Arabidopsis thaliana: one gene and its partners. The protein of the gene in region 1 interacts with the protein of each later gene in a pairwise test. Each region holds a gene or a part of one and is shown in the gene's direction. Other genes may lie near its edges. The genes, in order: AT4G30180, HEC1, BNQ2 and BNQ3.

Region 1 (3,189 bases):
AAACTTTTATGATTATATGCATTATTGTTCAATGTCTACTATAGGTGTGAATGTCTAGTATCTATTTTGGTATCCACATCTATTAGTTTGCATCTCAATTTCTTTCTCCTCTTAGATTATATATATATATATATATATATCCAATATATATATATATATTATTTCGTTTGTTTTTAACTAGAAAATTCCTCTACCTTTATGTACTTTTATCTACTTGTATTTAGTAAAGTTTATAGATTAATTAATTTCATCTAGATGGGTTACCATTAACACATGTTTTCCACATTCAATCAAAGGTTATGGGATTGCATTAAAATATAATACGAGAAAACATCACATTCTAACAAAAAAAAAGATTATTTACAAAAGAGAAATAAAATTTCCTTGCTGCATTGATTGATAATCTACTAACCCTTGACTTTTTTTGTGTGGTAGGATAAAGAACACAACAAAACCAATAAGAGATCATTCAGTTTTGGCTATTAACAACAAAAGCTAGTAACGTGTATATTGCATGTATCAAACACTATAAGATTAAGAGACAACTTGTAATGTCTCAACCGCCCATGTTTAGTAGTTATAGATATTGTTTGGACATTTTATTGTTATTATTATTATTATTATTATTATATATATATATATATATATATATCTAAATGATTCGGTATATATTTTAAAAAATAAAAATAAAATAACAAATGAGTAACACCCAGACTTTCATATCATATCAAAGGTGACCTTTTGTGTCAACATAAACTATATTTATCTATTTACAAATCCTATAGGAAAAATTAAAGTCATCTTTAAACCTGGAATGCAATGATGCTTAGAATCAAAAAATCACGACTAAAAGTCCTTGACAAATAAAACGTATTAATAACCCAATTACTGACCACATGCATCTTAACTTTATGTTAATATGCGTAGTAAAGAAACTTGTATCTACGTCATATTAGTTACAGTGGCAGTAAAATTCAGTTTCAAAGATGTTTGTCTTGATATGTTGTACAGATCACCAATTGAACTACCACTAATAATAACTAAATTTCTGTTTAGCAAGTTACCATCTGTATCCAAATATCGCAAAAGTAGTGGGTAGTGAAACCCAAATTCATCACACATGCAGCATAAAAAAAAAGAAGGTCAAATGGTATATATAATATGAGGGAGATCTATATTAAGATAATATGGGTAGAAATGACATAGATTGATCAAACTAATTAGGAGATTGGTCCAAGGACACATACACATGCATACATGTATTATGTATATACAAAGTGTGTGAGTGAGTGAGTGAGAGAGAGAGAGGTTAAGAGGAAGGAACATGTGAAAGCATTAAGAGAAGGTGGGGTTTTGTATTGATGTCTTGTTCTTGGAATGGAGCCACATGGTAAAAGGGTCTCTCAAAGCACCTCTTTAGGGGTAGTTGTGATGCAGCCAAATTAGAGCTCTTGCATGTGACTCCATGTGTTTTTTCTTCCCTCACCCATTATTATTCCCAAATTCTTCTTTTCTTATTTTTCTCTCTTTATTTATGTATATATATATATATATATATATATATACACACTCTCTTTTTGTTTTCGTGTATTTTCTAAAAATAAATGTATTATACAAAAAAACATATATTAGTTGATGATATTCAAATTCCGTTGTTTTTAAAATATTTGTCTAAAAAAGAAAACTACTAACTACGACTTTCAAATAGTCTTGTGTTTTGTACGTGAACGAAAAATAATAACACTCCCAAACATATTACCTCATATATGTATACAAAGAAAATTAAGTTCTACAACTTTACTTTATACATCATCAACGCTTGTTATATACAAACAAACGTAGGACACCGCTCTTCTCTTTCTTTGTCTCTCTCATATTCTAAGTTTGCTATATATGTAACTTTCTCCCTTGTAGACTTTCATTTGCAGCAAAAATAGTTTCTCATATGGAGAGGCAAATCATAAACAGGAAGAAACGAGTGTTTTCTCTTGAACCAAACAAGAACCCTAGTGCAGTTTTCACGAGAAAATACACAAGCCACTTGGTTCCTGCACTCAAGAAGCTCAACATGAACAAGAACTCTTCAAAACAAACCGTGAAGCATGAAGTAGATATGGCTTTGGCTTTGTCTGCTCAAGAATTTGCATGGAGCCGTTTCTTGCTGCAGAAGCTATCGTCCTCATCGAATCCAACCACTACCACTAGTTCTTCTTCCGATGGAATTCGGATTCTTGAAAGACCCGATAAAGAAGGCGGAAACGAAGAAGGAGGGATAGAGGAGAGACTGAGGGAATTGAAGAAGCTTTTGCCAGGTGGGGAAGAGATGAATGTGGAAGAAATGTTGAGTGAGATTGGTAACTACATTAAATGTCTTGAGTTGCAGACGATTGCTCTCAAGTCCATTGTTCAAGATAGTACTTGACTTTTAGTTTAAGTGTATAATTTATAGTTTGTTTCATGTTTTTTTTGTTGTCTTTAAACGAAAATCATCTGTGTTTTTTTTTTTCTCTTGATTTCTTTAAGAACAAGAGCATGTATTATAGTGTTTTTCTTTTTTCCTTTTCTTAATTAATCATGGTTACCGAAATACCTAAAGTACCACACATGGCCGTTTATACGTACATCTTATAAAATTCGATCAAAATCTGATTGAAATTTAAATTATTGGTTGTAATGCCAAATAGACGATGTGCTGCCTAAAATAAAACTCTTATGTTGTCTTTTTTTCCTGAATTTATTATTTTAATGTTATGAGCAAATCTCCAAACTTTAATATTCTAATCATTTTAACCTGACAAACTTTGTGTTTGTGTATATATTTATATTCCTGCAAGTTTTTTTTCTCCTTTAGCGAAAACATATGAACTTTCGACTACAAAAAATCAGATGTAACAAATCTTCAATTAAATAAAAGCTACACATTAGTAGAGATCACCAATATGTTCCAGCTGCAGTAACTACAGGTGCACCATTAAAATGTAAACAAAAATTAGGACTACTGGACTAGAATTACTTTCCAAAAAATTCGATGAATATGAAAAACAAAACGCCGAAATTGTAAATATCTAAAAAGGAGGAAAGTTGGATGACATATGTGTAAACTATGAAAGTCATAACATTGATTTGAAGTCATCATCCATATCTTTGCACGTGTCTCACAGTCACTCGCACGCATCCAAATCTCTCTAT
Region 2 (3,430 bases), on another chromosome or scaffold:
GTGGTGTCTTTTGGATTTTGTGTATTTTTAAGGTAAGAATCATTTATTGTCATTTGTTTTCAATTAATTAGGATGCTGCTTCTTGTTTACGGTACATTTTTAGGTTATGTTCCATCATTATATTTAAATATTCAAACGATTATCTGATCACGAATCAGATCCATCTTAAATGATACTATATCATTTATTATTATTTTTTTACACGATACTAATGCATACTATTTTTGTATAGCAATTTGTAAATCAGTTATAAGAATGAAAAAATCTCCACTTTGTTGGGAATGATATCGGGTTGTCAGATGCAGCAGATGATGATTCTTCAGTTTTCGATTTCAACATAAAATTCTTTGGTTAAAAAAGCAATTTACAAGAGAGAAAAAAAGGTTGAGAATTTTCATAAAAACTGAAAGCACCTTCGCCAGAAGGAAAGTCAGTGGGGGTAAGCAACAAAAGTGTTTAATAAAATCTACTATATAGAATAATACATAAAAACTTCCAAAAATGAATAATTCGAAATTTAAGATAGTGAGTAACAAAAAAACAGTAAAATAAAATAAAAAAGGAATGAAGTCGTTCTCAGATCGGCTTTGAGAAGCGTGCCATACGCTAAGGCTTGATGTCAACTGAGATCCAATTAATCATCCTGACTTATTTCTTATCTATCTATATACGTTTGTTCCTCCACCATTTGTTATATATACACACACACACGCATGTATTAATGTATTAACCGTTCTCGTTATGAGTCTGTGTTAATTTAAATCTGACCAGAAAATTTTACAGAATAAAATACTGCTCCCTGGATTCTGACATATCTCATGTGGATGTGGGGTAATCTTATAAATCATAGTCCTCTCTCTCTCTTATTATAATATTTTGGTTAAGTAACCGTTTTTCTTGGATTGAAGAAAACACTTTCGTTAATTAGTGCAACAAAACCAGTTGATAATCTTTTACTCCAGCTATTATATGAAACCTAATTGACCTTTTTCACATACAAAAGTGTTGATTATGAAATGAATACAATAATAATGGTGGAAAAAATGGAATACTCGTTGTTGTGCTTGTGAGACGACCGGTTCATGAACCTTGCTTTGTCGCGTAACGCGTTATGCCTTCTTTGCCTTTAGTGGATCTGAACACCAATAGATGTAAGCCACGTGTTTACAACAAACATGATCTGGACGGTCGATAAATGCGATAAAATAAACCATTGGTCAATTATCGACGGTCATCATCGATACTCATTAATGGAACCATTTTTCTTACTTCTTTTAGTCTTTTTTTACTTGTTTTTCTTTTTGGATCCAAGTTATGTTACGCAATAATTCTACTTATAGTAACTCCTACGTGTACACACTTTTTCATAGCTTCTATTCGCAACCGAACGAAAATATTATGGCTTTATAAAAATGATTTTTCCTAACATTAATGTTTGGGAATTTTATCATCATACAAGTTCAAATATGAGGAATAAAATCCACCTCAATATTTTACTTGCCTTGGTATATAATAACCTATAATAGTTGATATATGATATTACATTGGTAAGTTAGTCCGAATGACCGAATGCATGTGGAATTTGCACTTAGACAAGAAGACAAATTTTGAAATTGAATATATACATATATGCCCATAAATGTGAGAGTTGAAAATGGGAAGAAATTCCTTTTTATTATATATGTGTAGCATAAGTTAAAGAAGATGGATGGGCCACAAGTTGCTATATAAATCCTTCCACTTCTTGTTGTATACTATTGCTTGAGTTCTGATTGGGCACAGTAGTACCATTGCCATTTCTCTCACACATACCGTCTCTTTCTCTCATCATCAATCATCAATCATCCAAAAGAAAAAACCCTAAAATTTCACTTGTAAGCTTTTCACCAGTTTCTCTCCATACCCATTTTATCAGCTTCTCCATATCTTTCTCTATGGATTCTGACATAATGAACATGATGATGCATCAGATGGAGAAGCTTCCTGAGTTTTGTAACCCTAATTCCTCTTTCTTCTCTCCCGACCACAACAACACTTACCCTTTTCTCTTTAACTCCACTCATTACCAGTCCGATCACTCAATGACCAACGAACCAGGTTTCCGCTACGGTTCCGGTTTACTCACTAACCCTTCTTCTATCTCTCCCAACACAGCTTACTCTTCCGTTTTTCTTGACAAAAGAAACAACAGTAACAACAACAATAATGGCACGAACATGGCAGCTATGCGAGAGATGATCTTCCGTATCGCCGTGATGCAACCGATCCATATCGATCCCGAGGCGGTTAAGCCACCGAAGAGGAGGAACGTCAGGATCTCTAAAGATCCTCAAAGCGTGGCGGCTAGGCATAGAAGGGAGAGAATAAGCGAGAGGATTCGGATTTTGCAACGGCTTGTTCCTGGTGGGACGAAGATGGATACAGCTTCGATGCTCGATGAAGCAATTCATTATGTGAAGTTTTTAAAGAAACAGGTGCAGTCTCTGGAGGAGCAGGCGGTGGTTACTGGCGGAGGGGGAGGAGGAGGAGGAAGGGTTTTGATCGGTGGAGGTGGAATGACGGCGGCGAGTGGTGGTGGTGGCGGCGGGGGAGTGGTTATGAAAGGGTGTGGAACAGTGGGGACTCATCAGATGGTGGGCAATGCACAGATTCTTAGATGATGATGATTTTTAATTTTATTATTATTATATTAATGTTGGAGAAAAAGAGAAAAATGATTCTGGAGAGGGAAGCCAAGTAATTTATGTGAGAGTCTTTAATTTAACTTTATTTTCTTGTTTAGATAATGTGTAATGATGGTTTTTAAAGCCAAAGACTCTCCATGGTTGTTGGAGCGAGTTTGTAAATTAGGAACTATTATCATTGTATCCTTGTTAATCAAATAATTAAAGCAGTATTATGCTTTCAGCTATCAGGCTTGTGTTCATTTTTTATTTGTCTAAAAACTAAATGCTGTTTTCAACATGCAAATATCTATACTTTTTTCTTAAATTAAAAATTAAAATTTCAAAATTTGAGTTTATACTCTTATACTTGTATACAGATTTGAGAATATGACTAACCAAAAAGTCCACGATTATTTATTTTCAATTGTTAATGTCTAATCTGATGGATTTGAGGAAGAAATTAACATCTTCATTAAATGATCAGTAATTTCAAAGCATTAAACAATAAAAATTATTTTTCACTTAAAACAAAATCTTACAAGAAATTTGGTCTATAGAATAATTTCATTAAGATGCTATTAAATATTCAACTGGGCCTTTGCTTTTGTGTAACAGTCTCAGGATTGGTCTTTTTCTCATTGTTTACACAATTAGTAGTCTTTTATGTTATCAGCTATATTATTCAGGACCCAAAAACAACTGGACCCATCCGAATCTTTTTAAAAACACAACCTAGCTATCACAAAGGCTGTTTTGATGAAGCC
Region 3 (4,039 bases), on another chromosome or scaffold:
TGGGTAATTAGTTCCACATATTTCACCTATTGAAAGATGCATTCTAATGTATCAATTTTGAACGGTGGTACTGGTACATCGACGACACTAGTATGAACAATTATGATATAAATTAAACTCACTGGTTTTTGCAAATGTTCTAACTATAAAAACATTTTTCTTTGAAAATTGTTATCTCACTACCGTAGTAAAACGATGGAGATAAGAAAAGCGAGAGGTCATGTGGGAGAGGGCGTGAAGGATGGGGATGCTCCCTGATTAGAGGGGGGAAAGAGTGTCCTATCATCACATGGGAGGTTAAACTGGTTCTTATTTATAACTTCAAAATATTAAAACATAAATAGTCCCACCTTTGTGTGCTCATCAGCAAACATTTTTCTTTAATGTCCAATTTATCACACCATCTCCTTGTTTTCTAATACATATCATACATCTACTAATCATCATTCATTCATATCTTTTGCATATATCATCATCTTCATCATCATCATCACGTGTTTAGATCTAGCAAATGGTTTGTTGTTATTTATGACCAAAACAACATTACCATGTAGTATTTATATAAATCCTAAATAAAAATTGAAACTCACTGATACAATTAAAATTAAAGTATTTGTACAAAATTACATATTGACGAATGTTAGTTGGAAATCACCTGTCTAAGTTTTTTAGAACAAGTGCTCAAAGATATTGGGTTCGACAATTGATGAAATTCCACTTAGGCATTACATATAAATAAATATCGTAAGCATATACACTATCAATTGAGGTACACGTGATCGAGCTTGGACTAAAAGTGTAAGACTAGCCCCTCCCTATTGGCTAGGATAGATACCGTACGTTCCCTCAAATTGACCTAAGTCCATTGTTTTTGTTTACCCGTATCTATATAACTGAACCACAAAATCTTCTTGGTTTTACGCATCACAACGATCATAAAATAATGATATACTCATATAGGTATATCTTGAGTATATAGACAAGCTTTACACTAGCTTGTATAATAAGATAAATAGAGTGGTGATATTTTAATGTTGCATTGTTTCAGTACTTGAAATCAGAATCGTTTCCCACTTGAAAAATTAGTTTCTCTTTGATCATAGCATATCTAACAAGACATATTAGTCGAGCTTTTGGATAGTTGTCGTTTGGTCTTAAAAAATAATGATACATTCTCACAAACTCTCACCGTACCTCAAGGCTCAAGCAAAGCTAGGACATGCTATTAAGGAACTGTAACTACTATAGCTGATTATCACAAAGTCTCACCTCAATATATATAAAGATTTTAATGACTAGAATAATTATAAGTTTTGAGATAAATTATCAATGTATCCAAGTGAAAGTATTGTTTGGTATTTTCTGTCAATCTAGATATTCATTTGCGAATTCCTAATTGACGAAAAATAACAGATATTATAATGTTACTAATTAACAAAAAATAAATCTTTGAAAAGATTTACATCATTGAAATACTACAATATTAAAAATATAATAGCATTATAATATCGACAATACTTATAATACTCATATAATAATATAATAAGAAGATTTTAAATGTACATAATACAAATTATTGCAAAAAGATTTCCAGTAATAGATACTAAGTTCTACTAAAGTTTTTGAAACTTTTTAGGAAAAGCAAGATTTTGTTGGAGACTTTGGATTAATGTAATTTTCAAAAGAGAAGAAGATGGTTTTTTTTTTTCTGAATATAAGAAAATAGAAGATATATATCTATCTTCGGTGTATTTATTGTTGATAAATATGCTGTCTTTTTTTAAAGTAAATAGATAAAAGTTAGACAGACTTTTTTTTTGTCTTATGTATCTTTTTCTCTAGTTTTTTATAAATCAACTTTAAATTAATCATCAAATAATAGTAATATTAGACACATATATACATCACGATCTGATAAATTTGTAAATTCACGTGTCATGTATCCAAGACTCCAATTCTAAACCACTGTTCTCTCTTGTGCACTTGTCATCGGCATATCCAACACCCCTATTTAAGATTATTTGTATTACTCTCGCTCTCTCTCTCTCTCTCTATCTAGAAGTGGTCCTAGCTCTCTATATAACACCATTTCTTCTCCTTCTTTCTTCTCCCTTTCTTTCGACAAGCACAAACAAAGCCATCAAGAGAAGAAAGCCTTTTCTTGGATTCACATATATATAAGAATATTTTTTCAAATCAAACATGTCTTCTAGCAGAAGGTCGAGACAAGCAAGCTCATCATCAAGAATTAGCGATGACCAGATCACTGATCTCATCTCAAAGCTCCGACAGTCCATTCCGGAGATTCGCCAGAACCGTCGTTCCAACACGGTAAATCTTTTCAAAAGTTACTGTGTTTCTTCTATGTACCAAGGTTTTGGCATAGTCACATAAGTTTTACTTTGATGATATTTATTTAGGGTTAGCTATTATGTTTAATAGAGAATCACGCATATACAAGTATACAACATGTTAGAATAGTGCATTATAGTCATAGAAGTACGTGTGGGAGACTGCATTTTGAAGTTTCTAAAATTACTTTTGACCATTAACCGGACTTTGAGGAGAGGGGAACATATTTTCCCTAACTTCAGCATTAAGCTTCTAGTTAATTTTACTTTTATTATTGATTAACTACATTGAATGTGAGACGACTATATTGCTTCACGGACCATCAATTCAATACATTTATGTACAGCACCGACTAATTTTTATATTTGGTTTTCTTAGTTTCTATATAACAAGAAAAGTACGAACTCTAGAAAAATAAGAAAAAGCTGGTTTCTATAAATGGAAGCATCGTTTTCTTATAGTACACACAACCAATCAGATTTGTTCTCAATTTCAAAACAATGTGTTGGTTAAGTTATGAGCATTTTTATTTTTTTGATAAAGTATGGGCATTTTATCTTAAGCTTTAGGTTTAACTTTTAACCTATGCATAGTGTAGTATGTCAAGCAACTAGCGTCAATATATTTTCTTACATTATTAACACGCATCATAACTTCAAGCTAAGACTTGTTTCTGTTGTTGTTAAAGCAAGCTAAGACTTGTTTGAATATTTATATTGAATCCTTACTATAAAATGTACAATTGTGAAAATTGTTTGTAGGTATCAGCGTCGAAAGTGTTACAAGAGACTTGCAACTACATAAGAAACTTGAACAAGGAAGCCGATGACCTCAGTGATCGATTGACTCAGCTTCTGGAATCCATTGATCCTAATAGCCCACAAGCCGCAGTTATTAGGAGCTTGATTAATGGATAATTAAGATATAAATTGATTAGTTGTGCTTTATATATATAAGCTTAAAATCTCGTTGGGAGGTTGATCCATCAGGGTGTTGCATAATTATATATCTATTTTATGTTTCTTATATATTATTTACAATCCTATCTAGTTAGGGTTCATATTTTGACCCTTTTTTGGTTTAACGTCATGCATGCAATTCCATTAAGCTTAAAAATTATAATAAATAAGATTTCGAGTAATTATTTAATTTAAATCCTTTTATATTATATTGTAAGTGTGTCCATTTGTATGTGTGTTAATGCGTTATACAAATGGATATACTATATAAGTATATATGGCACCCAAGAGGTTAATTAATTTCAAAGTTAATTTAGACTTATCTTCGAAATAGATAGAAAAGTTGATTAATACTATCATTTAAAGCGTACATGATTATCAATTTTGCATGAAAACGTAATAGGATGACTCAAACCTACCAGACTCACATAAAAAATAATATCTCAACCATTATACCACTATACATTGTTACAAATTACAAACTACAGAATGAAACAAAATCTATATTTATTAGCTTCTCACATATTAAAAAAAATAAAAAATCCAACAAATGTTTTTGAAAACAGACCCATCGTGCATTATATTTGATAATAAAGATAACATTTACACTAGTTTGCTATAAAATTTAGTATTTAATTACCTACAATAATTTTACATATATATATATATATATATCTGTATAAAATTCCCTAAAATATTTGAAGGTTTAGAAAACAGGTATATGAAGT
Region 4 (3,585 bases), on another chromosome or scaffold:
TTAATCACACAAGTTGAGACGACCAAAAAATTTAATTTAATCACATAGTTTGCAAGATGTGCTTGTTTTGATCTGTCAAAAGAGGAATTGTCTCTAATTTATTTCCAAAATTATGAACACTCATATACGGATGTAATGTACATGTATAACTTTTATTTATTGTTTCACCTTATCAAAAAAAAAAAAAAACAATTTTAATAATTGTTACACAAATGATTAAACATATTTTATCGGGTAATGATATACTAATGAGTCATGAGTCCATGTGATTTTTTATTTTGTTTTTTGATCTAAAGATTCATAACTTAAGTATTCTGGTGTAAACATAAAAAGAAAGCAATTTTTTTGAATAATACAAAAAAGAAATCGTTTATTTTCTTAAAACTGTAAATAAAATCAAATGAAAATGTAAAATAAAATAATAAAAAAATGTAAAACAATCCACATATGAAAAAAAAATCTATTACTAGATTAAATCTAATAACGATTTAAAAATAGACAATACGTGTTCGGAATTTGGAATCAAAGTCCAATTTTCTCTTCTAACTTCTTAATTAAAAAACAAACTTTTAGTTTACAATTTATTTAATGAATTAAATTAAAAATATATTTTTTCTCAATTGTTGGTGTAACCATAATTAACTAATGGAATTTTTTGGAGAAAATATTAATTACTTCAATAAAACGAATGTTATTTATTATCTAAATATAAAGATATTACATGATGGGAAGAGAGACGGGTTACCATATAGTTTGATACCTAGACAAATTTCTGTCTGTAGACTATAAAATTATTTATAGGAATCATTTCCATTGATTAGAAATTCTTGAGATATAGTGATAAAATTGTCAGATCTAAATGGATAAATAATCGAGCGCTTGATTGATTATTCCAAATTTGCAATATATTAATCAACTGATTGATGCCCATGGTATACAAATAAAAATGGAAGAAAGACCAAACTAAGGTACACTCAAAATGGAAAAGACTGATATTAGAATTGTTTAATTTCATCTCTAATAAAACTAAATCAACTTAATTATTTATGTTTGTCTGTACATGCTCAAATTAGTATATGTACTAGATCAAGTATGTAACTATATAAATAAATTAATCTTGCAATATAACTATAGAAGTTGATTAACATTTCCAGGAGTTAATCCTAATTTTACAGTTCTTGGATTAATTAAGATATCATACAAACTAATCATAATTTGTAGTCTAGTACCAAAGTTTGTATTATCACCAATTCCAGAATTTATGCAAGTTTGCCGATAAGTATGACAAACATGCATACATATTCTCTTTGTCTTATAAACCCAAAATGTTTTAGTATACTCTATTCGTGCCAAAAAAAAATATGAAAGAAGGTATCCTCCAACTATAATCAAACATCACCTTTTAAATGATTTACTAAAATGGCACAAGATCACTCTTGTTCTGAAGTTGGTTACTAGTGAAACATATATAGAAAAATGAAAACTGGATTAGCAAAAAAAATAATGTGGAATTAAAATGAATTTTAATCTTCTATTTTATAATGAATTGTAATTGGATAAATGGAAATGTTTTTCCTATATAAGTTTAAAAACATAACGAGACGAAAATTTTCTACCGTTAACAACAAAGATGTTCTTGCAAATAAGATAAGCGTTTTTTTATTGCACAAATATATCTATAAATTTTAGATAAAATATAAATTCTTACCCATTGAGATTTGCATAATACTATTCAGAGTGTTTTTTTTCCCTTTCGTTAAAGACTACTAGTCAGAGTGTTAATCTAGTAATTCACCAATTAATTTAACTATACTTAAAAATATTACAGTTTTTAGGAAACATGCTAGAAAAAACATATATAATTTTGCAATTATATTATTCCATGCATACACATGTAGAGCCAAAAACGGAGAAAAATCTTCTATATAAACACAAGTTGAAACCATTCATGTTTATTTTAAGCAGTTGCAGTAGACTCTTCCACTTCTGTATTCAATTCTTCCTTCTTTTTTCTCTTATAATATAAATAACATACAAAGAAAATACTTGCACTCACAAATATTGATTAAAGTTAATTAGTGAACCCTAAGATTTATAAATCTCTAGCTATACTCTACCATATCATATATATTACATAATGTCTAGCAGAAAATCACGTTCAAGACAAACTGGAGCTTCCATGATCACGGATGAACAAATCAACGATCTTGTCCTCCAGCTTCATCGGCTTCTCCCCGAACTTGCTAACAACAGACGCTCTGGAAAGGTACAACGTTCTAATCAATTTTTCATTATGATTCCTTTTAAAAAATTTAATTTCCTCTTTCAAACCTTAAATCTTTTCTAAACCTTTTTAAATCTTCCTTGGATTAGTAGTGGGTACTTAAAAGAACAAACCTCCGGTTTAAAAAAAATAAAAATAATAACTAATATATATCCTCCATCAAAGTTTAACAGTAATTCTTTCATCTTTCTGTTGTTGCAAACAAACGAGAGTCTTTAGTTAGAATTATAAATAAATATTAAACTAATATTCCATATATTCCAATATTGCATGTATGTATTGATTCATTTGATTGTGATGCATTTTGTGACGAGTGCTAAATTTTAATTTCCAAACTAATCGACAATAAATAGCATGCTGCATGCATGATAATTAAATTGTTAATTATATATAAGATCCTTCTTCTTATCAATATATTGGTTACTTTCAGGTTTCAGCATCAAGGGTATTACAAGAGACATGCAGTTACATAAGGAACTTGAGCAAAGAAGTGGATGATCTTAGTGAAAGATTGTCTCAACTTTTGGAATCAACTGATTCAGCTCAAGCTGCACTAATCCGAAGTTTGCTTATGCAGTAGAATTAGTGCAATAAACGAAGGATATTTTTTTCTTTTCTTTTTTTTGAAAAAATGTCTTCTCAGTTTTAATTCCCCTTCTTATTGTATTTATAATGTCTGGCAGCTTGTGTCCCCTGTTAATTATGCAATGTTTTATTTTTAATATATGTAGGGTTTTGTTTTTGTCAGTTGTTGAACGAAGCAAATGGTTTGGGTTTACGTTCACATTATTTAAGGCAACACACTCAATATATGGGCTTAGGTATTTCTTAGATTCTAGGCATTCCAACCAAATCCATCACATTTTAGTAGCAAAAACATTGATTAAATTTTGAATTTACGAGAAGAACAATGTTTTCTAGTGTCATGCATATACGATTATAACGGTGTTTTTGTAGTTAATATCGATAGGAACTAAACTAACGCAAGTCAAATTTTCTGATCAAAATTAGTCGTTAATTTCGCTTAATGGTATAAAGTATATTTTAAGAAGGAATAAAATATGCTAATAAGCCCCCACGGTTTCCATTTCTGGTAACAAGAATACCATTCAACGTCTCGATCAGCAGCAACGTTGAATCGTTGATATCTATATATAGAAGTATAGAACCAAGGGGTAATTTGGTCATTCCAGTTCTAACCCACTTCTATTACAAGAGCAGTTTACTACGTAAAAACGACCGGCCTTCCACTTTCCCGAAAACAGCCAGCGCCCGCACGTAGAGATTTACTGCATATTCAG

The links.
Region 2: the proteins of AT4G30180 (region 1) and HEC1 interact in a two-hybrid assay, tested with the Arabidopsis thaliana proteins (one large-scale study listed by BioGRID).
Region 3: the proteins of AT4G30180 (region 1) and BNQ2 interact in a two-hybrid assay, tested with the Arabidopsis thaliana proteins (one large-scale study listed by BioGRID).
Region 4: the proteins of AT4G30180 (region 1) and BNQ3 interact in a two-hybrid assay, tested with the Arabidopsis thaliana proteins (one large-scale study listed by BioGRID).

What each region holds. Positions count from the first base shown.
Region 1 is NC_003075.7:14,767,083-14,770,271, forward strand, and holds AT4G30180 (uncharacterized protein), read left to right. Parts: upstream 1-1,701; 5' UTR 1,702-1,945; coding exon 1,946-2,422; 3' UTR 2,423-2,689; downstream 2,690-3,189.
Region 2 is NC_003076.8:26,764,342-26,767,771, forward strand, and holds HEC1 (basic helix-loop-helix (bHLH) DNA-binding superfamily protein), read left to right. Parts: upstream 1-1,740; 5' UTR 1,741-1,934; coding exon 1,935-2,660; 3' UTR 2,661-2,916; downstream 2,917-3,430. UniProt on the Arabidopsis thaliana protein: Required for the female reproductive tract development and fertility.
Region 3 is NC_003076.8:4,920,717-4,924,755, reverse strand, and holds BNQ2 (BANQUO 2), read left to right. Parts: upstream 1-1,943; 5' UTR 1,944-2,202; coding exon 2,203-2,331; intron 2,332-3,113; coding exon 3,114-3,269; 3' UTR 3,270-3,513; downstream 3,514-4,039.
Region 4 is NC_003074.8:17,588,592-17,592,176, forward strand, and holds BNQ3 (BANQUO 3), read left to right. Parts: upstream 1-1,952; 5' UTR 1,953-2,137; coding exon 2,138-2,266; intron 2,267-2,714; coding exon 2,715-2,864; 3' UTR 2,865-3,079; downstream 3,080-3,585. UniProt on the Arabidopsis thaliana protein: Atypical and probable non DNA-binding bHLH transcription factor that integrates multiple signaling pathways to regulate cell elongation and plant development.